Caenorhabditis elegans: one gene and its partners. The protein of the gene in region 1 purifies or fractionates together with the protein of each later gene. This does not show direct contact. Each region holds a gene or a part of one and is shown on either strand. Other genes may lie near its edges.

The links.
Region 2: the proteins of drag-1 (region 1) and sma-6 purify together in Caenorhabditis elegans (affinity purification with western blotting, with the first as the bait; one study listed by BioGRID). This does not show direct contact.
Region 3: the proteins of drag-1 (region 1) and dbl-1 purify together in Caenorhabditis elegans (affinity purification with western blotting, with the first as the bait; one study listed by BioGRID). This does not show direct contact.
Region 4: the proteins of drag-1 (region 1) and unc-40 purify together in Caenorhabditis elegans (affinity purification with western blotting, with the first as the bait; one study listed by BioGRID). This does not show direct contact.

What each region holds. Positions count from the first base shown.
Region 1 is NC_003279.8:1,677,761-1,686,944, forward strand, and holds drag-1 (Repulsive guidance molecule B homolog drag-1), read left to right. Parts: upstream 1-2,685; 5' UTR 2,686-2,749; coding exon 2,750-2,798; intron 2,799-3,867; coding exon 3,868-4,138; intron 4,139-5,069; coding exon 5,070-5,671; intron 5,672-6,620; coding exon 6,621-6,689; intron 6,690-7,067; coding exon 7,068-7,303; 3' UTR 7,304-7,443; downstream 7,444-9,184. Other genes in the region: Y71G12B.31 (Tyrosine-protein phosphatase), read right to left, coding at 8,456-8,570, 8,623-8,709. UniProt on the Caenorhabditis elegans protein: Probably in association with the cell surface receptor unc-40, positively modulates the BMP-like Sma/Mab signaling pathway through interaction with both the ligand dbl-1 and its type I receptor sma-6.
Region 2 is NC_003280.10:6,321,689-6,329,316, forward strand, and holds sma-6 (Serine/threonine-protein kinase receptor sma-6), read left to right. Parts: upstream 1-2,795; 5' UTR 2,796-2,800; coding exon 2,801-2,940; intron 2,941-2,987; coding exon 2,988-3,138; intron 3,139-3,356; coding exon 3,357-3,446; intron 3,447-3,491; coding exon 3,492-3,603; intron 3,604-3,647; coding exon 3,648-3,803; intron 3,804-3,845; coding exon 3,846-3,939; intron 3,940-4,028; coding exon 4,029-4,109; intron 4,110-4,154; coding exon 4,155-4,291; intron 4,292-4,338; coding exon 4,339-4,642; intron 4,643-4,718; coding exon 4,719-4,890; intron 4,891-4,933; coding exon 4,934-5,332; intron 5,333-5,377; coding exon 5,378-5,452; 3' UTR 5,453-5,667; downstream 5,668-7,628. Other genes in the region: C32D5.4 (uncharacterized protein), read right to left, coding at 1-91, 138-264, 312-427, 860-1,391.
Region 3 is NC_003283.11:6,754,596-6,761,643, forward strand, and holds dbl-1 (Protein dbl-1), read left to right. Parts: upstream 1-3,539; 5' UTR 3,540-3,689; coding exon 3,690-3,977; intron 3,978-4,027; coding exon 4,028-4,126; intron 4,127-4,215; coding exon 4,216-4,287; intron 4,288-4,335; coding exon 4,336-4,626; intron 4,627-4,675; coding exon 4,676-4,781; intron 4,782-4,859; coding exon 4,860-4,975; intron 4,976-5,166; coding exon 5,167-5,237; intron 5,238-5,289; coding exon 5,290-5,344; 3' UTR 5,345-5,823; downstream 5,824-7,048. Other genes in the region: T25F10.4 (Neur_chan_LBD domain-containing protein), read right to left, coding at 5,847-5,943, 5,987-6,057, 6,272-6,347, 6,389-6,557, 6,606-6,687, 6,750-6,887, 6,935-7,012. UniProt on the Caenorhabditis elegans protein: Ligand for the serine/threonine-protein kinase receptor type-1 sma-6 which activates a TGF-beta-like signaling pathway. Multifunctional protein that is involved in body size, male ectodermal patterning, innate immunity, lipid metabolism and neural plasticity.
Region 4 is NC_003279.8:5,687,708-5,694,980, forward strand, and holds the start of unc-40 (Netrin receptor unc-40), read right to left. Parts: upstream 3,797-7,273; 5' UTR 3,734-3,796; coding exon 3,715-3,733; intron 3,515-3,714; coding exon 3,431-3,514; intron 1,894-3,430; coding exon 1,713-1,893; intron 1-1,712. Other genes in the region: npp-7 (RanBP2-type domain-containing protein), read left to right, coding at 4,559-4,754, 4,829-4,989, 5,083-5,688, 5,897-6,589, 6,867-7,273.

The DNA of each region.
Region 1 (9,184 bases):
CTACACATTTCGTTACTTGACAATTTTTAATTTTACCGAAAGGCAACAGAGATATGAGTTTACAAAGTAGTATGCCTGCGATCGAGTGTTTCTAGAAGGATAGTGTAGGGGTACTGTAGCATTACTGTACATTTAGAAACATTGGGGTACTATCGGTGTTTTTGTCAGAGAATGTCAAAGAGAAAAAACTGTTGATGTTTTGAAAAGTATGACCAAACTTGTGATTGAAAACATACATTTGCATACTGTTTTTTTTTCGAGTTTCGGGTTTTTTAAAGAAATTTCGTATGACACATATTTGTTGTATAGTTTCGCGAACGGTTAATTTTAAAATAAGAAAACAAAAACAAAAAAGTTTGCGTCGAAATTGAAGTGCGGCACGGTTCTATGGGCGGAGTTTATGAACAAAGGCGCGGTAATTCAAATTGGGAGATTAGCATGAGTTGAAAGATCTCCAACATTATCGGTATTTTTTTTCAGACCTAATAATTGGGATCAGTTTGAGTATTTTAAAGATTTAGAGGTGGAGTACCGAAATCTGAAAAATATATTTAATTGACTCCAAATTTTTCCCTGATTCCGAATATCTATGTGGAAAAATCAAAAAAATTTCTCCGATTTTATATTTCAGCTTGAAATCGCCGAATTTAATTTGTGCACGCATGCCCCGGTCTCTTTTTTCAACTGCGCGCCAAAAGAAATTCGCATTGGAGCGCGCTTGCATCGTTAGATTTTCTTCGTTTATTTTATTTATTTTCGCCGAATTCAATTTTTAACCAGTGTCATTAATTTTTGTCGAAAAAACAATTTTTCAGAGAAAAAAACCGATAAAAACTGGACCAAAACAATTGAAACTTGTTTAAAAAAATTGTTATTTTTATTCGGCAAAAATAAATAAATAAACGGAGATGTAAGCGCGCTCCATTGCGAATTTCTTTTGGCGCGCATTTGAAAAAATATTGATGCGGCCACAAATGAAATTCGGCGATTTCAAGCTTAAGAGATTTTTTTTTGAATTTTTCCACATAGATATTCGGAGGCAGGGGCAAATTTGGACTCATTTAGAAAATATTTCCCATATTTCGGTACCCCACCGTAAACTTCCCGAAAAAAAAACTAGATACCTCAAATCGTATTTTGTCTAAAAAAAACATAAATTCTCCTTTTCAGCAACCTAAATATATTCTCTCTACCCCATTCTCTTCCTGTAGACTCTTCCTCTCTTGCTACCGAAAAACAGAGTAAATGCACAGGAAGTGAGCAAACATAACAGCTCTTCATCCTATACGGGAGACCAGCTTTAACGCGCTCCTCCATTTTTCTTATCACTCTTTTCGATTTGTTTCCTCCCTTTTCAACTCTTTTTCTTTTGCGCTGTAGTCACGGTGTTTATTGATTTTGATGTTTTGTTTTCAATTAAGATCATATAATATTTTTTTATTATTTAGATCCCTATTATCTAGAACAACTTTTTCCAATATAAAAGCTTTATGGGGGTTACAGTATTTTCAAAAAATGAATCATATATTTACATATATTACTCACTTGCCTTAAACAATACCTTATAAAAATAAATCAAGAATTTTTTTAAATTTTTTCACACTACACACTTTTAATGTGTCAGCAACTCCAGTCCAATAAGATTGGTTTATTAAAATTTATTAAATCTTTGTAACGTAGGGCATTCCAAAACGTTTTACTAATGATTTTTTTTGCTGTTACAATAGTTAGAATACTTTTAAAAACTCAAAGGTACTTTATATACTTACTTCTGGTTATGCCACGTGGTGCCAGACTGTCCCATCACGGTTTGATCTACAAAAAATGCGGAAATTTTTTGCCCAAAAATATGTGACGTCAGCACATTCTTAACCATATGAAATTCGTTGAGAACTGCGTCTCTTCTCCCGCATTTTTTGTAGATCAACGTAGATCAAGCCGAAATGAGACACTCTGACACCACGTGTTATGCTGCAATTTCTAGGCTTGGACTTTTAAAAACTTTTTTAAAATCTCTGTATGGAGCGCTCCGTATTGGATTTTATCAAAATATCTCAAGGTTTTCTGGAATTTTCTGGAAAAATTGGATAAACTGATGATATTGATGATATTGAAAAGTTCCAAATCATTATAGAAACTTTCAAACCAGGGGTGTGCGGCAAATTCGGGAAGTCCACATTTTTTCAAATTTGCCGTTTTTGGCAAACGGCAAATTCGGCAAATTTGCCGCACACACCCGTTTCAAACGTAATGGGCATAACAGAAATTAGTTTCACCACATACTTACTTACTTACTTTGATCTGACAAAACTTTTTGGCGGGAAATTCAAATTTTCTGATAAATTTTTTGGCGAGAAAATCAAATTTTCTGATAAAACCTTTTGGCGGGAAATTCAAATTTTCTCAAAGAATTTTAAAAATTACCGTACACTTTAGCTACCGTACTAATATCACCCAAACTATTTAACCTCAATTAATTTCCGGCTATCATCAATCAATGCCACTTCAAATCGTTCATCTGATTCGTCATTTTGAAGGCGTTATCCTTAATTGAAAGATTTTTTGGGACACCAAACTTACACACACAGCTCCCTTTCATTTTTTTTTCGTTACTTCATTTTTCATCGATGACCCCTCGTAAATCATGTGCATGCTTCTCTACTTTTGAATTTTCTTTTTTCCGTTTTTCAGGTCACAAAGAAGTACAGCTGCTTGATACCCGCCGTGAGATGAGAAGACTTGACAGAGTATGTCAATAGTCTATCTCGTTTCAATCACTTTCATTTTTTCAGTTTTCAGTGAGTATTTTGAGGGGTTAATGGCCTAGTATTTGCAAAACCTAGGCCATTTGTTTTTAAGGCAGTATTTGGTGCCAAATGTGTGTGATACTGTGGAGTAGAATTTGCTAAATATCTGATGTGTTTATTTTATTTAGAAAACCCCACAGTGCACCGTGGCCTAGTTATTGCAAAACCTAGGTCATATAATGTAAAACGGGGTCTTACATATTCCAGATGTCCTAAAATTGTTTTGCAAAGCCTAGGTCGCGTATTTTAAATGGCAGTAATTTGGCCAAGTGTCAAAATTTAACAACAAATTCCTCTAGGGAGGGAGGAGGTGGCCTAGAAATTGCAAATCCTAGGCCACATATTGGAACGTAGTCTAAAACTTTTGAATGGTGGTGGAAAAGTTTTTTTTTAGTTTTTAATTTGAGTTTTTTTTTTTTTGGAATTTATTTTCCGCAAAAAAAGTATCTAAAAACTAAAATTTTATTTTTACTTTTTTTACTTAAAATTACAAAAACGTTACAAATAAAATTTTTTTTTTTGCAAAATCGTTGAAATTTAAACAATAAATTACTAAAAATATTATTTTTGGGATTTTTTTCAAACTTGAAAAAAACTGAACGGTTTTTTAAAGTTTTGGAACAATATTTTTTCAAATTTCATAATCTTACTTTAAAGATATTTACTATTGAAAACAAAATAATTTATCGATTTTTAAAATTTGCAAAAATTTTTGTTGCCCAGAAAGTGGGGCGGAGCGTAACTTTTGCAACACTGCCGCACGGTTTCAATTTTTCTGTTTTTTTTTCTTTTTTTGCGAATTGGATAACATCAACATTTTCATTCGAAAAAAAAACGGAGAAAAACATCGTGCGGCAGTGTTGCAAAAGTTACGCTCCGCCCCACTTTCTGTGCGACAAAATTTTTTGCAAAATTCAAAGATCGATTAATTAATGTCAACAGTAGAGTTTTTTTTAAATTTCAATTAACCTTTGAAAAAATTATTAAATTTAAGAAAAAATTTGGAAAAAAAATTCGAAATTTTTAGTAATTTTGAAAATTACATCAAAACACTTTCCAGAACCCATCACATCGTGTCGTGTCGAAGAATGTGCAGCATGGTTCCAAAAGACAAAAGACTACGAAAACCTGGTGCCAAAAGCCACCGAACGATATTGTCAAGTTCTTCAGACTTATTTAAAATGTATGAATGATACTCAACGATATTGTCATGGTAATCTTCGATTTCATTCATCGGAATTAATTATGAGACGGCACTGGAAGGAGTTCGAGTGTGAGAAGTGGGAATCGTGTAATGATAATAGTCATGTGAAGAGGAAACATGTTAATACGTGAGTCAACTGTGAAAAACAAAAAATTTAAAGTTTAGGCGCGAAATTCTAATTTTCTGGGAAATTTTTTTTAGTGGGAAATTCAAATTTGACAAAAAAAAATTTAGGCGCTAAATTAGAATTCTGTGAACACGTGGTGTCAAAGTGTCCCATTTTGGTTTGATCTTCGAAAGATGCGGGAGTTGAGACCCAGACTTTCAACTGATTTAGCTTGGTTAAGAACGTGCTGACGCCACATTTTTCTGGGAAAAAAATTCCCGCATTTTTTGTAGATCAAATCGCAATGCGACAGCCTGACAAAAAGTGGCGAAATTCAAATTGTGTGAGAAAAAATGTTTTGGCGCCAAATTCAAATTCTGTGAGAAAACATTTTAAAGGGAAAATCAAATTTTTTGAAAGAAAAATTTAGGCGCAAAATTCATACTTTCTGGGAACACTTTGCAAAAAAAATGCGGGAAATTGAAATATTCTAAGAAAAATGGCGGGAAATTCAAATTTTTTCATAAAACCTTTTGGCGGGAAATTCAAATTTTTTCATAAAACCTTTTGGCGGGAAATTCAAATTTTTTCATAAAACCTTTTGGCGGGAAATTCTTTTTTTTTTTTAATAAAACCTTTTGGCGGGAAATTCAAATTCTCTCAGAAAACATTTGGTGCCAAATTCTTATTCTGTGAGAAAACATTTTGGCGGGAAATTCAAATCTTCAGAGGAAATATTTTTGGCGGGAAATTTGAATTTTCTGAAAAAAAAATGTTATTGCTGGAAATTCAAATTTTCAGAGGACACATTTGTGGCGGGAAGTTTGAATTATCTGAGAAAAATTTAGCTGCGAAGTTCAAATATTCAGGGGACACAGTTTGGCGGGGAAGACCTAATTTTTTGAAATCTCTGTTAATTTTTTCGTATCACAAACAACTTATTCTGTTCCAGATGCTATTTCAATCCACCTCCATCGAACCGGAAACTCAAGTACTGCAGCCTTTTCGGGGATCCTCACCTAATAATGTTCAATGGCTCCGTGCAAACTTGCTCGGAGGAGGGAGCCCGTCCTCTGGTGGATAATCGATATTTTCTAGTTCAAGTCACTAATAGAAATGTTCGAGGCGAAGCGCTAACGACTACAGTAACGAAGGTTACTGTTCTCGTGAGAAAGCACAACTGCACGGCTTCCCTCCGCTATGAGGCGAGCTCGGATGAAGAGGGCTTGCCACGTGGATTTGTGGATGGCACCACGTTCCAGATGACGTCAAAACATTCGGTAGAGGTACTGTGGCAAGATGATAACTACGTGGAAATAGCGCTTCATTTTATTCATTCGTCGATTCACATTCGCCGTCAAGGACCTTATCTATCGGTTTCTGTTCGGGCGCCGACGATTGTTCTGGAAACTGGAGGAGACGTGGCCAGGGAGCTTTGTTGGTCGGGATGTAGGAAAAGCTCACGGATACCTGCAGAGCTTGCTGTTGAGATGACGAAAAAGTTTGCAGAGTGCTACAGGAGACGGGTTCATGTGCCGAAAAAGGTTGCGGAAGGTATGTTGGATTTGACGCGCAAAAAACGTTTTTTTTTCAAATTTTAGAGACTACCTTCTTAAGTGAGCAAAAAGTTTTGCCAATTTACGGTTTTTTAAAATTAATCTTGGAAATATCACGGGGTTCTGGCCTTCCTCATTGAGTTTTTCGCGCTCCATTTGACAATGCATTTGTCCGTGTGGAGTACACGACTTTCCCGCACGTTGTCCGGCGGGCGATTGTCAATGGAGCGCGAAAAATGCAATGAGGAAGGTCAGGAGCCCGTGTTTTTTTGAAAAAAAAAACAGAAAGTGATAGCCGTGGCTGAGAATTCTGTGCCAGGGGTATCCTAAGCAACCTGTCTGTGGGTTCTGGAATTCTAGGCCACCTAACTTAATTTGTCGGCCACCAGTTTGTTTTTAAATCGATTTTCAGCGCAGCATTCAAGATTTCAGTGCATTTTCAGCGGGAAATTTGAATTTTTATTCAATATTTCAATTCAGTTTCTATGGTAAATTCAAATTTTCAACGAATTATTTGTCTGGAACAATTTTTGAATAGATTTTTGGTCAACAATTTGAATTTTCAATAGAGTTTTTTGTAAAATTAAGTAGTCAATTATCAGCGGGAAATACAAAAATTTTCAATTTTTTATCAAAAAAAATTCATTGAATTTTTCGCGCTCCATTGACAATCGCCCGCCGGACTGGGAAAGTAGTGTACTCCACACGAACTAAAACCGAGCCGCGACGCGACACGCAACGCGCCGTAAATCTACCCCAAATATGGCCGAGCAAAAATGGCCTAGTTCCGCAAAAACTCTTCCATCTCTATTTATGAGGGAAGCCAGATTTCCGTGAGTTTTGAAATGCTCCGAAATTTAAATTTCACAGATGCATCACATTTTACGCGCAAAAAAAATATTTACTAAATATTTACTCTCAACAAAATCTAATTGAACTACTTCCAGATCGCTGCAAAGACATTGGCAACATCGGAGTGTTCTTCGACGCGTGTGTTTTTGATCTCATGTTCACAGGTAACAAACGCGCTCCATTGATAAAATACTTGTGTTGTGTGTGGAAAATATGGTGCATTGACCAGAAAACACCGAATTTTACGCGCAAACACGTGGTGCCAAAGTGCCCCATTTCGGAGTGATCTACCAAAAATGCGGGATTTTTTCCCAAAGAAAATGTGACGTCAGCACTTTCTTAACCATGCGAAATCAATTGAGAAATCTGGGTCAATTCTCCCGCATTTTTTGTAGATCACACCAAAATGGGACAGTTTGGAACCACGTGCGCAATTATAAAAAACTGTTTAAATTACCAAATAAACGCACATTTAGTCCATTATATCTTATGAGCAAATTTGATTTTTTTCAAAATTTGTGAGCAATGTCCCGAAATTCCAGGCGACGACTATCTGGTACACCTTTCTCGCGCCGCTGAGTCAGACTTCCGTCGATTGGCTCCGCATCACTTCCAATCGCATGTAACCCAACAACATGCTCGGTTCCAGAAAGAAAATCAACACAAAAATCACATAAATCAATCGGAAATCTTTAAAAAATGTATTCCATCGAAAAGTATTAGGTTTTATCCATTTCTTGCCATCTTTTTTTTTGCTCTTTTATCATTGTTATGCTGACCTGAATTTGTAAATACTCTTCAAAATGCCTCAAAAATCGATAATTTTCATTTCAGATCTCTTATCATTCATTGTTCATGGGTTAATTCAATTTTTTAAAATAAAAATTCAAAAATAAAGACATTTTTAATTTAAAAAAATTATATCTTGCTTCTAAATTGAGTTTAAAAAATCAATTTAATTGATTTTTCCAGTCGAAAATTGTTATTTCTCAAATGTACATTTTAATACAAAAAATTGGAAAACAAATTATTTATTCAAATTTTCTCCACATAAAATCTAGCTTGTCAATTTAAATTCGAATTCGAAATCAATTAATTTGCAAAAAAAATTGTATAGAAAAATTGTATATTTTTTTAGCTGAAGAATGTTTGTAAAATATGAAAGAAAAATGCACATTTTCCTTGACACTAAAAGTTAATAAAAATACATGCATTACAGTATTACGGACGCAGAAAATTCTGAGAATGCGTATTGCACAACATATTTGACGCGCACAATATCTCGTAGCGAAAACTACAGTAATTCTTTAAATGATTACTGTAGGTCGATTTACGGTTAACTGTTCACCCTAGTCAATTTCTTTTCAGGAGTGCTAGAAAAATTTTGAACTTTAGAGTTTCTGGGAGCCAAGTTACATCCCTTCAAAATTGCAAGGCGCGTCGCGGTCTGCGTCGCGGCCAGGCTATCATTTTGGAGCGCTATTTCTCAGCTCCCAGTGGGGGTGCAAAAAGAATAGTGAAAATATATATTGATTAATAAATTGAATCAATTTCCCAACTTAAAAATTTTGGATTAAAAACACCGAATTTGAAATTTTTTCGAAAAATAAATCTTTTAAAAAAATATATATTTTGGTTCAAAACGACATTGCACAGTAAATTTGATTTAGAACCCAAAAAGTTTCATCTTTGTACGGCAACTGGAGGACAAGTTACAGCCCTTCAAAGTTTCGAGGCGCGTCGCGGTCTGCGTCGCGGTCAGGCTACCACAGTGGAGCGCTGTATCTCGGCTCCCCGTGATCCTACGGATTTGAAAATTTTTGCGCTTACGGATAACTGTGAGGAGACAAAAAAATATTGGAATTTTTTTCGCTACGATATATTGTGCGATACGCATTCTCAGAATTTTCTGCTTCCGTAATATAATAATCTACTTCTTCTGATGGTAGTTCCTCAAGTATTCTCCGATAATGTCATAAATGCATTCGTACTGTTTGACAGTGTATACCATACTTGGCCGCTGCTGCCGTGATCGATTCACTTCGCTATAAAATAAAAGTGTGTGTGTGTAATATAATGTCACTTCATTCGAAATACCTGAAGATGTCGATAATTCCTTCCGATTCAAATCGTGATATGACATTATCCGTGCAGATGAACACACCAGTACGGCCGATTCCAGCGCTGGAATTTGTCGATTTTCAATTAGTTTGGGCTCAATATACTGTAAGGTGGGCTCAAAATTGCACCGATTTTTCAAGTGAAACCTTGGGAAAATTCAAAAAATGTCCTAAATTCAACCCAATTCTTGAATTTTGTAAACGACCAAATTTATAATGTTCTGTGAAAAAAATTAAAATTTCCAATTTTTTTTTCCTGCCAGAAAAAAATCAAATTTAAAATGTTCAGAAAAAAAACTGTAATTTCTTGTTCCTGGTACATAAAATTCTGAGAATGCGTATTGCACAACATATTTGACGAGCAAAATATCTCGTAGCGAAAACTACAGTAATTCTTTAAATGACTACTGTAGCTCTGGTGTCGATTTACGGGCTCTACTTACGAAATGAATTTATTTTCGAATAGCGACAGCTATATGTCATTTCATTTTTTCTTAATATTTTCTCATTTTTTGCATAATTTTAATATTCTATCAATA
Region 2 (7,628 bases), on another chromosome or scaffold:
TCAATCATGCGTCCTGGAGACACATTCTTAATTGTGGAGGCTGTATTCGGGCTAACGTTCCGTTCTCGAAGCAATTCAGTTGGCCCGGGAACTGAATAAAATGGTTGTTCTTGGTCACAATTCCAGAAAAATCCTACCATTTGTTTCTTTTCCAAGCCAATAATAATCTGCCTTTTTATATTTACAAAGAGGAATTTCATGTGGATTTCCATCAACAATAAGTGTCAGACGGACAGCTTCGATTGATGATTCAGGAAGTTGGTACTGAAATAAATTAAATTATAAATTAAATTCTTGTTACTGGTATTTACCGTCAACACGAATACATCATTTCGCTTGATTGTTCCCTTATTTCTGTTGCAGCTCAATTTTGGATCAAACTTCTTTTTAACGCTGACACGTAGCTTGTACTTGACTTCGGGATATTCTGAAAATTGTCATTTGAAATGTGGACGGACGATTGAGTTGTATTCAAGTTGTTAGCACACTCAAAGAACTATTTTCTCGGAGCTCCAGACAGGTTCGAGGCTATAACATCTAGAAACACTGCAACATGGCCAGTCTCGTTACAGCTTATCTTTAATAAATCGTGGCAATCCGTGTTCTTGACATTACAACAGTTCTTCTACGAGAAGAAAGTTTTGAAAAATGTTCGAGAAATCTAAATTGCAAAACTACGTACTACCACGAGTCACAGAGGTAAGCAAAACTAATTGTGCTCCGATAGAGTGAAAGCTTGTCCAACTGTACCAAATCAACGCAAAATTACACTGACAGAGACTAAAGTTTCACAGAGAGTTGCACCAAAATTTGTAGTAGTCCAGAGTCCCAAGAACCAATTCATTCGACGTCAACTCACCAAGTTCTGCACTATTCAAAATGATACTTGATGACCAGATGCGTTGTTCTCCATTGTCACCAGTTGTGATGGGCAAAAGGCCAGCAAATGAGAGTCTGAGACCAGTCCGATCGTGCACAACAAATGGTGTATTGGTTGTGGACATGTGCGTCAAGAGACGTTTCATTTCATTCGGATTTTCTCGCATTTCGGCTTCTTCCGGCGGTGTAGTCATCACTTCGAAATCGTCTTCTTTGCATTTTAACATACTGCGTACGATGTTAATTTTTGATGAAAACGAAATAATCAAAAACTGATTTATTTTTTTCCAATCGTCAATATTTTTTCGTTTTGAAGTTCTTAGTTGGAATGTCACGGAATGAAATAGTGTGGCAGTAAAAATAATATTAGTTTCAAAACAATTCCCTTGCGTATTATTTATTGTCAGGAAAAAATATACATCATGAATCTTTTCCCATTCTTGTTGCCTTGGAGATTTCATTATTTTGTCGTCTTTTTTGGACTTCAATTTTATATTCTTGTTCCAGTACATTACATGTTTATATTCATAATGTGAGAACTTTTAAGCTTCATTGTGTTAAGCTGTAGTTTCAGAACTTTTTATACTTTCGCTTTTTGAAGCTTTCGGCAACCTTTGCCGGGACTGAACTTTCCAAAAACTCATAGAATCCTATAAAGTGTTTTTTTATTCTAAAACACTGGCACTGGTAATTAACTTAAGTATTCAAAACATTAGTTTCATTTTTTCTAAAATTTCTAGAAGCCCAGTATTGTGAATAAACTAAAGTGCCCTCAAAACGTATCATACTATTACAAAATTGATATTTCCGATAAGTGCTCAGAACTCTTTAAAAAATAATATTTGTCGAGTCCCCAGTAAACTATTAATATTTTATAAGTTGGGAACAACAAAGAAGGAAATGTAGAATCAGATTTTCATTGTCAAATAAATATCATTTTTGAATGACCAAAACTCAAAGCTTGTTTCAGATTTTTCAATATTTTCAGTTTTGGCAAATTTCCAAATTTTTAAATACTTCGGAATTCTTGCAAATTTTTGAGCTCTTCTTTGATCAAAAGTAGGATTATTGGTCGACTTTCAAAATTATGATAGGCGAAGCAATATTGTAACTTGTTATTTTGTTACTTTCCCTATTATGATTATTTTCCCCTGTGTTTGCCAAATTTTCCAAAAAAGTAAATTTTTAAGAAATTTCAAACGGTAAACCCCTACAACATTTGAATACAAAAAAATAAAACTCGTAGATTTTTTTTTGCCGACTTCTAGTTCTTCACTAATTTGTGACTATACATAAAAAATTTCAGTTTTTTTTGGTGTTACTATGGTATTGGGACATTTTTGCACTATAAGCATGGTTTCATGATATTTTCTTACTGACGATTTTAATTGTAGTACTATAAAAATTTGTCGTGCCCTTCCGAATCTTGTATTCATCCGGTGCCCAAAAATCGCTAAACTTCAAACGATAGAAACAATGAATAGATATTGAAAAAAAGAAACACCTGGTGCAACCCTCTTTTACATAAATCTAATCCATCTATTTTTCTCAGAAAAATGGCGCCACGCCATTTAATGACCCCGTCATTTTATGGGGTGGCGCGACAGAAAGGCGCCGCACTTCTACCTATTCTCCGGTCATACATATATCCATTTTGGCGCAACTTTTCCGTTCAGATCATTAGTATCATTAGGCGGACAAGTTGTCAAAAAGAACATTAAGTGAATGATGAGATAGTTAAGAGAGATAGTGTACTGATAGAAGAGGCCGTAGATTGAAATATTGTACGAAACGGAGAGGAAACTCGGCAAACAGTCTTTTCATCTCTACCTCTGTCTTTACTCGTTCTATTTTCATGTTTTTCGCAACTGACTTCATTAACAATATATTTTAATCAATTTATTTGCAAATTTCAGATTTAATGAACATCACCTTTATATTTATTCTCATTTTCGGATTTTTCAATACTCAAAAATGCTCAAAAGACTATGATCACTTTGACGATGAAGACTTAGCGTTGAGCATTCCAAAAAATGCAATAGGAGTTCCAAAGGAGTTCAGGTACATGAGTTTTTATATTTTATCAAAAATTCAGTTTTTCTTATCAGGCAACAAGTTTTAAAAGAGATGAAGCTTCGGAACAGACCCAATGATATTTTGAAAAATCGATGTTATTGCAATTATGATCAGTCGATATGTGGAAATAATATGACATGTGTGAAACAAGATGGAGCTGCTTGTTATCATGCCGTTGAAGAGGTAAAATTAACTTGTAGCTCTTGAAAGTTTCCGTTTTATTTTTTGGAATATTTTTACACCATGGAGGTTAGCAACATATGATCTAGGCGTTACCAGTTTTTTAATGAATGGATTTTTCTCATTTCTTGAAACTGACAAATTATAATAATTTTTTTTTTTTGAAAAATCGATGTTATTGCAATTATGATTATTTTCAAAATTATAAAAATAAATTTTAGGTTTATAACAAAGCTGAAAAACGAATGGAAACTCTTCATAAATGGGGATGTGCAACACTGGAAAGAGGAAGTGGAGCTTCACATTTGACGGTGTTTCATCGAGTTTTTTGAAATATTTCACCAGGTGTTTTTCAGTGTAATTCTTGGAGAGCAGCTCACCATTCTCCTAAAAGTATTGGTTGTTGCTATGAAGGTAACTATTGCAATAAGAATTTGATTCCGCCGGCATATGTTCATCATCACAAGGGTGAGTTTTTTTTTAATTTAAATTTTTTAACAGGGACTATTCAGAGAAAGCACTTCAAGAGAAAACTGACAATCCAGAAGACTATGATTCTCCACTGGAAAACATGACACGTGGAGGAAAAATGTTCATAATGGTATTTGCAACAGTCATGTCGGTTTTTGCAGTCATTGGATGTATTTATTTATGTATTACAAGAGCAGGTGAGACAGTTTTTAAATTACTAAATTGATATTTTGTTTCAGAAGAAAAATCTAAAGCCAGAGCCAGAGCCAAGACGGTGTCTCTGAAAACAGAATCAACATACATGGAGAGCAAATCAATGCTCGAAGACTCAGGGTTCGTTTTTATTTCCTAGAGTATTTGCGATATAGAGATATCATACCCATTATTTTGAAAGTGATGTTTTTAACAAATACAATTTTCAGAAGTGGTTCTGGGCAGGCTGCGTTGATCCAAAGGACAGTGAGACAAGATTTAACAATTATTAAAACAATTGGACAGGGAAGGTAAAATTAATTCTTATTTTAATCTTTGTTGCCTATATTTTTTAGATATGGAGAAGTTCGCAAAGCTCTGTATCGTGGAAGTTACGTGGCTGTAAAAACATTCTACACAACTGATGAAGATTCATGGAAAAATGAAAGAGATGTATATCAAACTAACATGATCAATCATGAAAATATCCTTCGTAAGCTATTTCAGTAAAATTACTTTGAATTTCAAGAATTGTTTCAGAATTCGTGGCGGCTGATATTTGGAGTGAGGAAGATTCAATGACAAAGATGCTTCTTATCACTGATTATCATGAACTGGGATCTTTATCAGATTATCTTTGCCGTGAAGAAACATTGACAACAGATGAAGCTCTTCGACTTATTCACAGTTGTATATGTGGTATTGAACATCTACATGCAGCTGTACACGGAACTGGAAGCTTTAGAAAACCTGAAATTGCACATCGAGATATTAAATCAAAGAATATTATAGTCAAACGACCAAATGTGTGTTGTATCGCTGATTTGGGTTTGGCACTACGATAGTGAGTTATTTCAAATGATGCATCTGAAAACCAAAGATTTAGTTGTTCTGAAATTTAGAAAGAATAATGTTTTCAGTCAAAACGACAAAATTCTCCCTGAAAAATTCAATGTTCAAGTTGGAACAAAACGATATATGGCTCCAGAACTGATATCAAACAAGTTGAATCCAAAAGATTTTTCTCAGTTCAAGATGGCAGATATCTACTCAATGGCACTTGTTATGTGGGAAGTTGCAATCAGGGTTGAGGTATGATTATTCAATGAGTTTAAAATAAAGGCCATGATTGTAGGTAAACACCTGTGAGGAAGTGTTAACTGTCGATGAGACCTCTCCTGATCACAGTGCATCAAGTGGTATCGGAGAGTCAGTTAGTTCATCTGGTAATATATCGAGAATGCATCTACAAAAAACAAATGTAGAAGGACATTCTACATCTCTGAAAGCAAAACAACATGTCCCACCATTCGATGGAATCGTGCACAATGATCCCAATTTTGACGAGATGAACGATGTAATTTGTGTACGTCGAATACGTCCACCACCGGATCTTGCCTGGAAAAACGTCCCAGCACTTAATGAATTGAGCAAGTTGATGGAAGACAGTTGGCATTCAATTCCACACTTCCGACATTCTGCTCTTAAATTGAAAAAAGAAATGGCTGAGTTGATCAAAAACCCCGACAGACAGGTAATTCAACACGTTAAGGAGCTATATCTAACTCTATGTTTTCAGAATCAATCGCAGCGTAAAGTTGAATTCCAACAGCAAGACAGTGGCCTTGTTGAGTCAGCCACCAATCAATCTTAACCCACTTTCTGATCTTACTTTCGTTGTACCAAAATTTTTGGCTTCTTTAAAATCAATTTTACTTTTTCAGTTTTGTTCATATTTCCACAACGGTCAAAATTTAAAGCGATCTCTCTAATAATTTCCCATCAATTTTTTAATTGTGCAACTCTTATGAACTTGTTCTCATCTCGATTTACTGCAATTTTTGTGAATAAACATTGTTCCAGACCTGTACGTTCGTGTTGTAATTATGCGACATTATTGTCCATCATTGCCTAATATTTCCTTGATAGATTGCCGATAAGACAAATTCTTAACTTGCGCTCCCTGTGGCAGAAGACGGAGCAAACAAAATTATCAGCTCAACCATGTTTAAATGTACGTTTATTATCTCTCTATCTGAATCTATCTGGATTGGTGTGCACTGCATTTGTGAGCAAATATAGGCATACTTGTACGTGGTTTGATAAGATAATACTGCACCGTTAGACAACTCTTTTGGGTGAAACAAAAGGGAGACAACTGCAAGTTGCATCAGTTGGAACAATGAAACATTAATTCGTTAAAACACAAAGCACATCTGATATCATTTTCACAATTTATTTCGTTTATCACATATTTTAGAAGATCATCCTTTTGTAAAGTTAAAAGTGGATTCATGATATTTTAATTTTGACAAATCTCGACTAGAAAATTTTTAAGGATATCAAATATTTCAAGAAATTTCTGCACTGCAAGTTACGGCAAAATGTCCATCTGTCTGGATTTATTTTGTAGGTGAATCACTTGACTGTAGAAATCGAATATGATGCATGCAACTAAGTCTTTATTTCACAAAGCTTTTTAAAGTATTTTTTCAATTGTAAATTTGATAAATTCAATTTTAACTTCGCACACAAACCAGAAAGATCGGCAAATCAGCGAGATTTATCACGGTGTTTGCAAATCGTTGAATAACCATCAGCGTTTTTATATTGAAATTGAAACTTGTTCTGATACAGTAATTTTCAAAGAACCATCCATGTACAAAGAACCATCCATTGAATTTTTAAGAAATTGTTTCATTATAGTTAATTCCAGTTTAATACGGAATGGAAACAGTTAAGGTTGATTTGTCGAAGCAGGAAATGTATTTTCTTATAGACCTGGCACAATTTTTTTACGGGAGATTTGAAAATTGTGCCAGAAACTTTACAATCTAAGTAGGTCCTTTAATTGTATTCGTTTTTTTTTGTATACTGTCTCTATGATTACATCAAATCCCAGACATCTTGACTCCTTGCGTAGATTTTTGTTGTATAATTCTAAGTCTTAAATTATCAAGGCTCTTGTATTCGATGAGAGTGCCTATCAAGAGAGGAATCAAGTTTTCAAAAAAAGAAGCAAACGTAAATTGGAACTGGGAAAGCTTAAAAAAATATTCTGACTTAAGAGTTTCCCATAAGCAAATTGAAATAATCAATCAAAGAAACATTGTGATTTCTAACAAATGTCTTACAGTATATGATATTTACCCGGAACTCATGATAGCAAAAACTACCGTCAACAAAAATCAGAAGTTGTTTCAAAAACAGTTAACCGATTTCTCAAGTCTTGAACTAGAAAATGTGCATAATATCACGTACTTTGTCATGATTTTATGGCACTCTTCCAGTTCAAGAACAAGCGGTTTTCGAGTAGAATATGAATACGAAGTAATTGTAGATAATAATACAAAGAGCACTGTTATCACCTACACCACAATTCTCTTTTATAGTGACACAAAAGTAGGTGGGCTTATGGAATGGTAGATAGTTGAGACACAGAAAAGATGGTTGCCTATCACCAAATGGGCGGTGTCATCGATAACAATGCAACGTCGGGGGGCGACGGAGCAGTCCACATATAGATCGATACTTTTAATTGGTGTACGAAGGTGCAGCAACGGATTGACAAAGGCTCGTTAAAAATAATATGATTAGTAACGATGAGAACTTTGTGAGGGTGAGGGTCAAAATTGAAGGCTAGATGATTTTTGAGATATTGGGCTCAGTGGGGGATTGAGCCTAATATCTAGTATCTAGATAAGTTCTTTAGCTGGATAATCTAAATGATTAAATTAAAATAATATTGAAATATTCATTTTAAAGTATTTTTTGTGTGGCATTCAATACTAATTTCCTGACAAACAGTAAATGATTAAAAGAAGACTACT
Region 3 (7,048 bases), on another chromosome or scaffold:
CTAACGTCACTTTTTTCAAAAAAAAAAACACAAAACTAAGTAAAAAAGTAGTGGGGGGAGAGACTTGATTCAATTTCAATTTGCTTTCGAACCGCCTCCAAACAATTGCAAAACTCTGTGAGGAGGACCCATGTGTGGAGGCGTAGGAATTCGGCTTAATTTCGTATAGCTCAATCTCGTACTTTTTTCGAACAAAATGAATAAAAAACGGAAAAAAGTGGGCGGCGCCATGACGAGTAAAGTACAGGACTATAAAAACTCGTCATTGGTGGTATTTAGAGGACATTTTTCGTTTCATTTCAAAATAAAAACCTAAAGTTTCAAAAACTAGAATTATCAAGGAATACATTTTTCTGATTTTCAACTAAAGGTTGTAGGTTTTCCGTTTTAAAAGCAACCCTGCGCGACAATCAATAATTTTTCCGATTGTAGATTTTGAAAAGTTCGGCATTTTTCTGAAATGAAAAATTATTGTAATTATGGTAATTGGCAGTTTTAACAATTTTGAAAAAAAAACCTGACTAAATTACAAAAAATGAGAAGTTCCACTGTTTGTATTACTGTTACTCTTCCAAATCTATAAAATTTACTTTAAAAAATTATTTTCGGAAAGTCTCAAAGTTTTTCGGCTAGCAGACATTTTTGGAAAACCCACAATTTTAAGACAAAATGAGCTAAATCGTTTCCAAAACCCTATATATTAATTATTTATTCTATTATTCATCTGCAAAAAAAAAATGATTGACCTAGTTCATAACTCAATTATCTTTAACCACATAGATATCCCGTTCTTAGGACACTAATAATGTCTTCTTTTTACACTTTTTTGCGTCTGTAATTATATTTATTCATCCATTCAACTGTCCATTCTCTGTTTTAAACACTTCATCTCACTGACCTTTTCCACCACACCACATCTCCTTCCATTTTCTACCGTATGCCTTTGGCGCCATAATGTCGTTTCCGGAGCCGTCCTATCCAATTTACCGTATCTTAAATACCATTTTTGTGACTAGAAGACCTTCAAGTGACGTTTTGTTTATGTCGGTTTTCGACCAGCTGAGACACTTGCACTAGTAATTTGAGAGAATTTGTCGAAAAAAAAAGTCGTGAGCAAGTGAGATTTCGTTGAGATTCATTACAATCTGTATGAACACTGCAATTGCTTTTTTCCTCGGTTTTTAGTGTTTTTTTTTTGTTTTGAAAACTATACACTCTGTGCCAAAGTTCACAAAATTGACGATCAGTTTTCTAGTAGTTCAAACTTTCTTCTAGAGTTTCGAGAGACGGTGATGTTTGAAAATTAGTTTTTCTTGGTTAAAAAGTTAGAGTAAGATTTTAGAATCTCGCCAATACAGTATTAAATTTTTTTAAGCGTTGCGCATTTTTGCATTTTTGCTTGGCCCGAATCTAGGAGAAATTTCAAACTTTAAAAGCCTCACGGCAAATCCAAATCAATAAATAGAGTTCTAAATAAAGAATATTGTCGGCACGGAGGCAGATATTGGAATCCGTGAATCCGTCATGGATACAAACATCTGAAAACTTGCTATCAGGGGGCAAACACAATTGTTAGTTATCGTTTGAAGTTGCCGCCGTCTCCGTATCGAATATCATATCATTGTCGAGATATGAGAAGAAAACATTCTTGAAGTTGCGAGCAACTTCTTGCTGTCCGTGAAGACCAACCGGTCGGCTCTCATGTGATGTAGGCTTCTCATTTTTTCATTCTTCTTTTACTCGTCACACATTCCGTTCCTAGTTTTTTTTTGTATTTTTCTCATATTGAGAACGAGTGTTCCGCTCCCCAAAAAATATTGTCAGTAGTTGCTGGAACTTTTGCAAGAAATCTGTATAAAATTTTTTTTGAATACAGATAATTTTCCTGGAATTTTTGATAACATTTTTTCTTAGATTTTTCTTAGATGCTGTCAAGACCTAAAACTGAGTTTAAATTATATCAAAGTTTCAGAACTCAGAGCTTCAGAAAAATTTAGGTAACACCCCTCAACGTTGATGAGCATGTTAATTTTTGTAGACTTTTAAAATGTCTTTTTTATTACCCTGGAATCGGATAACGGTTTTTAGCAACCTGAATCCTACAATACTTGCTAACCTGGTTTAGAAAACAAATTTGGAAATGCTGTAGATTTCCTATCATTTTTATGAACTCAGACAATTTTTTTGTCGTGAAATTTTGCAAATTAATTGGAAAATTGAAATGAGCGAAATTGAATTACAAACATTTACGTTTCTATAATTCCCAGTAGCCTCCTTGATTACCATACTGTTTGCCAAATCTTGCAGACCTTCCAGTTTTCTCACGCTCACTTCCCTCATCTCACTTTTTTCTGTAATGTCCGTCTTTGGGGTCTTCTTGCAAATGTTTACCAACCAAAATCTGCAACTCAAAGCTTTCCCAAGCTCGGTGCCGACGAGTGTTAAAGGGGGCAACCTTGCACAATCCCTCGGGATCAATTCATCATTAGTGCTCTGGAACTTTTTTACTCGGGTTGAGCAGCAGCAGCAGCGCAAAACTTATCATAACCAAAAACGCCTTCTTTTTTTGAGCGCACCGCCCGCAGCCTCCCCCTCTGTGCCGAATTGTTGCGATTTGTGTATATGTGTCGAAAATATGAGAAGAATGTTCCCAAAATAGATGGCGTCTACAATATGCCAACGGTTCTGCTCAGGCTCTAAATCGCTGCCAATTTTCAATTGATTTCCATCTTTAGTTTCACCAACTGTGTCTATACATTGAAATTCGATTCTCTCATTTCATTCTTCTCAATCCTTTACATTATGTTGCATTTTTCTTCCTCTTTTTCTGAAAGTGGAGCTATTGTTTTTCACACCCACTCGATGAATCTGGTGGGTGTTCCTCTCCTCCCCCTCAACGTCACATTTATATGTCATTTTTTGAGCTTTTTTAAGCAACAGTGGTAGTAAGTTGACAAGAGGCATTTCGAAAACCCGTCTTTTGCATTTTTGGATTTATGAACTTTTTTGTTCTTCTCGTCCTTTCATCAGTCTGCAAAACAAGTCTAGATGTCTGAACGCAGTTCTTGGAAACAATTTTAATCTTATTTTCATACTGGTTGCTTGACTAGATCCAAGTACAGCTAGAATTCATTGTTTATTGCATTATGTTTCTAAAGTTTAAAAATATACCAAAGTTCTAGGATTGTAACATTTCAAGTTTCAACCATTCCTTAATTGTAGCTTGATTCGTAGTAGAAATTAGTGGCATTTTTTAATGAGTTTAAAAAATACTTTGAAACTTTGAAAAAAAAACTGTCTATTAGAGGACATTCAATAATTATTTTTAAAAAATGTGATACCGTCTTTCTCTATTACACTTGCATCCTTTTTTTTTACACGGAAAATCTTTAAAAACATCTGGAACATTTTTCTTTTAAATTTTCTACAAATTTATTTTATAATTTACAGAATTATAATGTTTTCTTTGGGTTCTATTACTCTCTGTCATTGTATCTCAAATCATTGTATCTTTAAAAAAAAATAGTCCGACTTTTCAGCCTGATTATGCGCTAAACAAGAGGAGAGTCGTCATCGGCGAGCCCCCCGCAAATAGAAGTCCTTGTCCTGTCCCGTTTCCCTTTTTGTCCAATCTGTTTCCACATTCCCTACGATATGTCCAGTGGCTGCCTGATGCGCCCAACTCAACTATGAACGACTCTGTGCGGACAACTACAACGATTTCAAGCACAAAATCCCTTGTTCACAGCTTCCAACTGTCCGCCATTCTCCACCTCTTCCTCCTCATCTCCTTCACACCAATGTCTGCTGCTGCCGATCAACACGCGTCCCACGCTACCCGACGCGGTTTGCTTCGGAAGTTGGGACTCGAGCACGTACCTGTGCAGACTGGTCCGAGCATTGATGTTCCACAACACATGTGGGATATTTATGACGATGATAATGATGTCGACTGGGTCAGACACTATTATCCGAAGGTGAGATTTTAGATTTAGCTTATACCCAAATACCAAGACTTAAATTTCAGGAGATTATTGAAGATAACGAAGGGTTCTTGTTGTCTTATAACCTCTCATTGGCTGCTCGAAATGCTCACAATGAAGAAGTGACTAAGGCTACTTTGAAAGTGAGTTTTTCTCAATTCTGTTTTTTTTTTCGAAAATGTTATTCTTATGCTCATTTGAACACCTTCCATCTGTAACTTGCCACTTTCAGCTCCGGTTACGACGCAACAACAAAGCGAGGAGGTCCGGCAATATTAGTATTTATTTTTTTGAAGATGATATAGTATGTAAATCATTTAGCATTTTTTTTTCTCACAATATGAAACTACAGAACAATGATCGATTTCAAATCGAATCTCGATCCGTCGACAACCTTACCGAATGGATCGATTTTGATGTGACCGCCGCTTTTTTGCGGCGAACAAATCGTATCAGTTTCTTCATCGATTTGCCGGAAGATGTGGAGATCGAAGAGACACAGAGCAGCTCACTGAGCTCATTGCCCTACGCGCGGGCTCAGAGTGCTCCGCTTATTGTGTTCAGTGACCTGTCCGAACCGTCCAGTGTGCGGCGGAAACGGAGTGCACAAACAGGCAACAGCGAACGAAAAAATCGAAAAAAGGTTTGTGATTTCTTAAAAGTAGAAAAATTGTTAATCAATTCTATTGTAGGGTAGAAAGCATCATAACACCGAGGCCGAGAGCAATCTTTGTCGGAGGACTGATTTCTACGTGGATTTTGATGATTTAAATTGGCAAGACTGGATTATGGCACCCAGTGAGTATTTTAATTGTTGTTTTAAAGTAGAATTAAAGATAATTAGAAGAAAAATTGAGAAATCGTATCAAATTTCAGAGGGCTACGATGCTTATCAATGTCAAGGCTCTTGTCCAAATCCAATGCCAGCTCAGTTAAATGCAACTAATCACGCTATTATTCAATCACTTTTACACTCTTTGAGACCTGATGAAGTGAGTTTTTAGAAGGTTTTTATTGATTTAGATGATGTTATTCATATATTTTTTCTTGTTCGAAAAAAATATGAGACAAAAATAGGTTTGAGTTTTTCAATTTGTTCATGCCTAACAACTTATTTTGAGGTCATGTAGAAAACTAGAAAAGAAACGACAAAACTTATTCCTCACCCTAAAATATTTTTCAGGTACCGCCACCTTGCTGTGTGCCTACTGAAACGAGCCCTCTTTCGATTCTCTACATGGATGTAGATAAAGTGTAAGTTAATCGAAACACTTCATGTCTTATTACTTCAAGATCTATTTTTTAGAATAGTGATAAGAGAGTATGCCGACATGCGGGTTGAATCTTGCGGGTGCCGGTGATACCCGCTTCTATGTCGCCATCGTCGTCGCACATTACCACTTTTTGTCATCTCCTTGTTTTTCCCTACCATTCATTTTCTTTACTAACTCCTTATTTTTTGGTGCAATGTGTCACGGGTCCTCATTTCTCACCTTCAACCGTTTTTCCTCTTGTTATTCTTGTCTTCGATTCACATTTTCCTTTTCTTCCCCGATGTTTGTCCATGTTTCTGTGATTCCTTCCTAATGTTCCTTTTCTCCTATTTTTTCCAAACCAAGAGCTCTTATGAAGACGGACAGTTTCTTTTCTTGTTTTCTCTAATTCTCTTCTTCCAAAAAATCTATCTCTCTTTTTCTTCTCACTCTCATCATTTTTCACTCGATTAGAATTGAATGTTCAAAACAACAAAACAAATTCAAAATATTTGATCTCATAGTTTTTGTGTCTGTATGCACTGATCCTTTTTTGTTTCTTTTTTAAATGAACATTTTGGTATTTGATTTTAATATTTTACTTAATTTTTTATTGGTAGAAAGTTGAAAATAGTACAAAATTAATTATTTGGAGAACTATGAACGCAAGAATTTCAAACCGACGGTAGGCGTTTAGCCACAGCTTTCTGAAAATTAAAATTAAAAAAAACAGTTACTTCGAATACCCACCGTCTCCATTCTGCAGAAGAATGCAAATTCAGAACTTCATTGAATGTAGACATTGTAAATTTTACTTCAGCCTGAAAAAATACCAAGAGAATTGTCATTTCAAAAGAAACACTATCATGATCACAGTATTTTCTTTTTTAGTATGGCACGCCACAACTTTACTTTAAAACGTTAAATCTCGGTTCATTTTGTAGATATCAAGAAACTTATAAATGCAAACTAATGAAAAATAAATGAAAAATGATTATCGTTTACAATTCTTTAATAGAGCAAACAACAACTCACCAAGCACATATCAAAGTTTGCAATTCTCGGACTTCGCATAGACTCGGCTCTTGCAGAATCCAATGCAGCATTACATCTGAAATTGTGACTTTCTAGAAATCTTCAAAAATTTCTTACTTTGATCTCTCTGTATCTAGACTAAATTGATCACTTGGCGATGGAAATAGTGGTGGAGTTGGATCAGATTCGATCGGACAGCACCTCAAGTGAAAAATAAAAAACGGAAGTAGTTGGTGAAGAATTTCAATGAAAACCTCCAGTAAAAGCAGTGTCATTAGTTGATAATCTAAAACAATTTGAAAGTAGGGTAAAAACGTTTTCAGTTCAAACAAACCAAAACTTGTCAATTTCCCAGATTTTGGGCCTTGACTTGCTGATACTAGACTGATAAGAAAACCACAACATAGGTAGAATCTCTGAAAAAATTGATTCGAATTATGTGAAACATCAAATGAATAGAATGATATTTTAAACCAACCGACGATGGCAAATTCCAAAATATTCTGGAAACTGGGAAGTATTCAAATATCATGGAAACATTCAAAAGGAATAATAAGAACATTCCAATTCGTTGGAAAGTCGGTGGACGTCGAGTAACACGGAACTCAAAGATTGCCTGGAACTAAGAATTGTATGATATATCTGTTTGGCAGTTTGGTATACCTGCTCGAATGATTCATTTTTATGAACAATCCACTGTACAAAAGCTTTGGAGACTTCAAAGTTCCAATATGAGTTGCTCTGAAACTTGGAATTTAACTGTAATAATTTCTTTCT
Region 4 (7,273 bases), 4.0 Mb from region 1:
CATTTACGTGTGTGCAACGCGCTCATCACATCTACGAAGGACTACCAGAATTCTCAGACCCTGATTTGTAATACGCACTTTCGTGCTTCATGGAATAAGAAAATAAATATTCGCCGAAGGCTATTTGCTACTAAATGTGAACAAGTTTTCCATTTTGAAAAAGTAAATCCAACTCGGATAAGCTTATCCCTGACCAGTTTCCATTCATACTTTGATGATTCATTTGTATTGAATGAAATTAAAACTGCAAAAATTGTTCAATGCCATTTGCATAGTCTTCAACAGAACCTTGAGCCTGTCAATCAATCGTCTTGACGACATCCACCCATCGTTTCTCAATTTCGATCGAATCACCCACAGTCGCCTCTGATTAATGACCATGACAACAGAAGAACGACTACAGGCCCGGCAAAGACAGCTTCAGGAAAACAATTGTTGACCTAATATTACCTAGCTCTAATGCCAGAATAATAATGGTGACATGGCATTATAGTAGGAGGAGATACATGACAAATGGCAGGAAATTGTCGCGGATACGTCTTTGGCGGGTGGTCTACTTCTGTTGAATGTTGTGAAGGCGAAAATAGTATCTGGTTACACAATATATAGATACTTTGTAAGCTTAAACCAACAACTTTAATATTAACAGAATCTTAAAGTGGTAATTTCAAAGCAAGGAAATTGAAAAATTGGAACATATAGTTAATTGTGTGAACTTTTTTGATTCCAATGTGTTGATTCTGTTCTGATTGTACTTTCGGTTTTAAGCTTAATAACTTTCGGTCTATTTCCGGCAAATTTCATAACATTTCAGTGGCCATTGGAAACTAAAACAACTACAAGTTATGAAATATGCAGAAAAACAATTTCTTGCACAACAAAAGCTTCTCAACAATAGACTCCAATCCTCTCGGTCAAAAGTGTCCTTCCTATGCACATATGCATGAATAAGCCAGGACGAAATTTTATATGTGCATAGAAAGACACATGTAAAAGTCACTACTTCCACTCGCTTGCATGCTCTTGAAGGGATTAGGAATAGAAGAAGGAGAAGAAACAAGTGTATATACACACATTCCGATAGAACGGAGATACACCATCTAAATGAGTTATATGTCTCAATGTCATTTGCATATTTTCGAAACTTTGACGAGAATCCACAAAGGAGTCCTTGTGAAGAATGTGAGCATCCGATTTTATTGGTGAAATAAGTTAAGAGTGTTCAAACAACCATATACTTGGAAAGAAGGTTAAAGATTACAAGATAGCACAATTGATATCTTTTTTTTAACGAAAAAGTCAGCTTCAACCCAATTTAAAAGTGTGAGCTTTTTCTACCGAGGTTAAAAGTGCAGTAGGGATATTGTTTAAAACTGATTTTATACTCAAAATGTCCAAATATCGTAACAAAAATTTCAAAATATTTTGACATGTTTTTTGAAATCATAATTTTGGAAGTCGATCAAAAAAATGTTTTTTCTCTACTAGTTTCATATTTTAATTATGTTTCAATTTTTCGTATGTAAAAATTCTAGGAGTTCGCCTATAACAATTACCTAAAAGTCCACATTTTTGCAAAATTTGCCAAACGAATGACGGTGAATATTGAAAAATCTAATTTTTTTTAAAAACTATTATAAGTGTATTGACACTGAACATCAATTTAAATCGAAAAAATTTTAAACCGAACAAATAGTTGTAAAAAAACTCACATTCTAGAAGATGTCCGTTCACTGAGCAACACACCATCACGTTTCCATTCAATTCGGACATCGTGTACAAGTCTCTCATGAGCCAGAACATAACTACATTCTAATAAATGAGACGATGATTCCATAACAGTCACATTCCGTCGTGGTTCCATTACGAATTGAAAGCCAAGATTCCGAGCATCTGAAAATAAGGTTTTATAAAGGATTTCCTTCAGAAAGTCATTCGTATTGTTTTTTTTATCGAGAATCTTATGACCATTTATATTCCGAGAAAGGTTTACGAAACGTATACTATTATAATAATAACCATTCATTTTTCTTCCTCAGTCATTATTCCATACGTTCTCACATGCTCGATAAATTCTTTTGTGATACATGCGGCATCGTAGAACCTTTATTTTATGAATTCACGGAAAAAAATGCAGTTAAAAACCGAAAAAGTCCTTATCAATTGGGGAATACTGTAAAATGCCACTTATCGCGTCTAATTTTTTTGTTGATATTTTTCTGTACCTTACTAGTTAAACTAAATTATCCTTATTTTTTTCCAGAATTAAAACATATTTTCACAACTGATTTATTATTTTGTAGCTTTCTCAGTCTTCAACCTTGACCATTCCGAAATAACAATAAACCCAAAGCGTCCTTCTTTCTCTTCCGCCGCTCAAAAATTGGAGCCAATTAGTTCACATTTTCGTAAATGTTTAGAAACAGAACTTTGCTACTCATCAATAAGAAATCATCATCATTTAAATGATGAATGAATGTATTCCCGGAGCATTATGCAATCAAGGGAACACCATCAACTGAAGACCCGTGTCCCTCATATTGCCTCATCCATCAATTGAAATCGAAAGGGGATGGAAGAGAAAGATTTGTGTGGTGGAAGCTAAAGAAGATGATGGCATTTCGTTTTGTGTGTGTGTGTTTGTGTCACAATTCATTCCAAGAGTAAGAAGAAAAGAGAGAGAGAAGACTTCATGTGGAACCATTGGGACCCACACACACAATAATGAAATGAACGAATCTGGTGGATTTTGTGTAGAGATTACAATCTTTCGAACATCAAACGCCTAGAGAATCTGGGGAATTGAGCTATCCACTTTTGGTTTGTAGTGAAAAATGCTACAATTTGGCGTCAAGTTTTCTTTAAAGGTGGTACCCACCGTGGGGTAGTGAAATAAGGCCCCGAGTGACGGAATGAGGCTTCTCAAAAGCGGAGTCAAAATTAACTAAAATTTTAATTTTTCCCTAAACCGCCATAATTTAGAAAACGTTCAAGATGTCTCTCTTCTGGGGACAAAAAAATCGCTGCTCCATCTTTAAGGTGTGAAGGAACTAAAAGATTGCTGAACAACTCTGCTAGATCGGAACTCGAAAATTGAGAATAATTTTGAAAGAAGGTTTTTTCAAAGTAAAACCATTAATTCGACGATAAACTAAGTGTTTTATAGGTAAGAGTATTAAAAAAAACGTAACTTTTCTTGGATTTGTATTATTTTTATGGAGTCAATTTTTTTTAAAAATAGCCACAAGGTAGTTCAGTGCCAAGTATTGACTTTAAGATGATTTTTATTTATATTTTTCTATTTTCAAAATTCCATTCTTGAATCGATAAATTATGTTGCCGGTGACTGACACCTTGACAGAATGCCAGATGGTCATCTTCCTTCCCCCATTTTAATATATTTTTGAATTCAAATGTGAAAAACTCTCACCATTATCAATCGATCGACGATGATGTTTCCGTGTTGTGGCATGAGTAGATGACAGATAAACTGTCAGAATTATAAGAATGAAACCTGAAAATTATAAATAGTAATGAAGTTTTATTTAATTTCCTTTTGTTTTCTTTCAGAGGTTCGGGTTTAGATACTTCGTTTACTACGAAATTATAGGATTTTAATTTTATTTGTATCAACACAAAAGTGATAACAACAATATTTAAAACTTTTCCACGGAGAAATTATTAAAATTGATAAGATAAAAAGATGGAACTCACCGAAATGTCGCAAAATCATTTCTACTGAATGAATTAAATAACTTCTGTCGAATTATCGCATTCTATTGGTGATGCAGAGGGTCTGAAATAAATAATGTTTTTATTTACCTTTGGATTTTTTGAACACATTTTTTGAACACAGAAAAAAAGATGGAAAAGAGGTCGTTAAAAATAATTTTGAATAGAAAATAAATATATTTAACGGAAAAAGAGTCAAAAACAGGGTCGAACGTCGTCAAAAGAGCTCCAGAAGTGTCCAGCTGAAGGGGTGTGGCCTTGTGGAATGGACACTCTCTCGTTTCTCTGCACCCTCTTCATGTTGTTAATGGAAGGATAACTGTCTGCACTCTAACCTCTCAAATGTCGTTGAAAGCGTCGCGTATGCGTCGCGTGTGCGCACTCGAAAATTTCTTTTTAATCGTCTTCGCGCCATTTGCGATTTTAAATTCCTTTATTGATTTTTAATGTAATTTACACTTCTTTCCTTCGAAAATTCAATGTTGGTAAAAGGTTTTTTGCCTTAAAAATATATCAAGTTTAATGCTTAATGCTGCGTTTACTGGCGCGGCCTAAATTTAAACATTTACGATTTTGAATGATTTCTGTAGTTTTGACCTGTGTTATCGATCAATAATTCGGAATTTTTACCAAAACATATTAGGTGCATTTGTCATGTTCTTTTGGTACTTCCAGTAGTTCATTTAGGCGTTTCAAAAGTATTTCGAAAAGTGTCGTTTTTGAAGAATTTTATTTTATCGAGAATTTCTGACACGGCGCAGAAAAATTTCTTCAGTCTCTCTCAGCTTTAGTCTCAATTACGAAACAACTTTTTTCTATTTCAGAAATGTCCGATAAATCCGGAGGGTTTTTCTCATCGGTTGGCCGCTTCTTTTCTGTTGGAGCTAGTGCCACTAAAAGCAAAGACGGCGATAAGTCGAATGATGAAGGTACATCCAATTCGTCTTCAAAATCGTCTCCTTCTGCGTCTCCAGCATTGAAAAATATATTATCCGTAGATAATGAAGCTAAAATAGCTTCAGGTAAGTTTAATCACATTGACTTTCATATCAGTACATGGCACTAGAATTTCAACTCATTATTTTTTAAATTCCAGATGAAACTTCAGTGAATACCTCACAAAACCATCGCATCGGATCACGTCTTCGATACCTCAGTCCGACTGCATTGGATCGGCGTACGAGTGCATCCAATGGCTTAGAGATCGATGTGGACGCTGTTCCAGATATTTTCTTCAGCACTCCTGCGGTTTCCACGGTAAATTTTTAAAGTTGTCTTTTTATTAATGTGTTTTCACAGAAAAATTAGATTAAACCTGTTGATAAATGCTATCGAAATATTTTTTTCCAGAATCGCAAACGTCAACTGACAGAGCTCGACAAGCAGATTCTACCACAATCGTTTCGAAGTGAGAGTGTGAAACGAAGTCGATTCCTGAACAGATCATTACTGGAACCAACTCTTAATAGTTCAATGAATAATGAGAGGAAAATGGATATGACTTGGTGTGGAGAGTTAACTGCTAATCATTCTCCTGCTTCATCTATCACAAATTTCTCACTTTTGAGCCGACGAAGTGGAGCAACTACCAACGGGTCATTAAGTACAAGAACTCAAGAAATTTTCAAAAAGCTTGAAGGTGCAAATACACCCGCGAAAGAAGTTCAGAGAATGTCAATGCTTCGAGCTGGCATTGCTCGACCAGAAAAATGGGGATCGTTTAGCGAGAGCAAGGTTCCAAATGGTTCAGCAACTGGCACACCACCACCTCCATTGAAAAAAGCTGGAGACGCAATTCCATCTCGTATACAGCTCATATCAAAGACTATGGGAATGTCCGCTCGACGTGCTCCTTATTGGACGGATTTAACTAGGAAAAGAACATCGTCGAAAAATGGAGACACTGGATCTTCTGATTCAATGAAATCATTGAACGGAAACTTTGCGACTGCAGAGGTAACCTGGATTTTAAACACTTGAAAAAAAATGATACAAGAATTATGAAAAAGTTTTTCTGGTCAAATTTTCTAAAATTAGACACGAGATTATCACAGTCTAGTATTTATTTTTAAACGTTTCATTGGGAAATTTTCAGAAATTATAACAAACTTAAAATTATGATAATTAAATTATTCGACTTTATCTTAACTTTTTTAAATTTCAGCTGAGCTCCTTGTTTTCACTGGACTTACCAGCTCCAAAGAAGACAGCATCAACTGCATCCACGACCACCATAAACTCGTCAAATAGTCGAAAACAACATGCCTCAATTATGAAGGGACCTGATGGGAAACCAGTTAGTAGAAATACGTTCAAACTCTCTGATGACATTGAAGAAGTTGATGAGGATTCACAGAAACTTCCACCAATTCCAACAACAACTCTGCAGAATCCACAACCTCTGAAATTGGCGCCAGAATATGCACCCAAGCGCGGGTTTTTGGACGATCTCGCGTTCTCATTCACAGCTCCAGTTGATTTAGTTACTGCTGTTGGAACTGCAAAAACCGCAAGTACGGCAAGCTCACATAAAGCATCCGAGTCCAGCAGTGAGAGCAATGCAGAATCGACAGAAAAGCAAACATCTGAAAGCAGTGGAAACGAATCAGATTCCGAAGAATCAGAAGACTCAGAAGTAGACGTCGGTGAGGAGAATGGTAGTGAAGTGAAAGAGTCGCGACCACAAACTTCCGCTGACACTATCTCATCTGCCGGAGGATCCAATCAGAGTTCAAAGGATTCGTCTCCAAAAGTTGCCAAAGATGCAGAACCAGTTGTGGTTGCTCCAGCTCCAGTGGTCGATGCTGGTTCTAAAAAATGGGAATGTCAATCGTGTTTCTGTAGTTGGGATTCTACGGTAAGAAATTTTGATGTTGATACGAGAAAACTCTAAACTGGGTCTACTATGTTTTACTTAAAATTAATAACAAAATTTAGTCTACAGTTTTCGTGGGTTTAGGAAAGCGTGCGCGAAATGTTCCATTTTTTCAACTAAAATAATTGAAGTCGTCACGAGTCTCGCTGAAAAGTACATCATGTGTCTTTAGAGCATAGTCTCACATTTTCAGAAAATTGTCAAGTATAAAAATTCATCGGAAAAGAAACTAAGAAATTGACAAATAATTTGTTTTCAGCTATCGGAATGTGGGGCATGTGGGGAAGCACGTCCAGGAGGATCTGGTACTGGTCCAAAAAGTCAACCAAAACCTTCCGAAAAGCAGCTTGTATCAAATCTCAGTAGTTTCGCATCGAATACACCAAGTACTGTCAAGTTCGGATTTGGATCAGGTGCTTCAACGACAACAACTATTGCATCGACAACTTCAAACACAATTCCATTCGGAAGCGGTTCTTCAGTGGCACCACTTTTTGGAGCCCCCAAGACAACTGCTCCACCACCAACAACTGTTCCTGCCACAATTCCAGTAGCCCCTACTACTATCGCATCTGCTCCTGTTGCTGCTGTAACTTCATCCTCCAATGGTACACGTGTTGATTGGGAGTGCCCTGATTGTATGGTTAGCAATAAGGCCAGTGATGA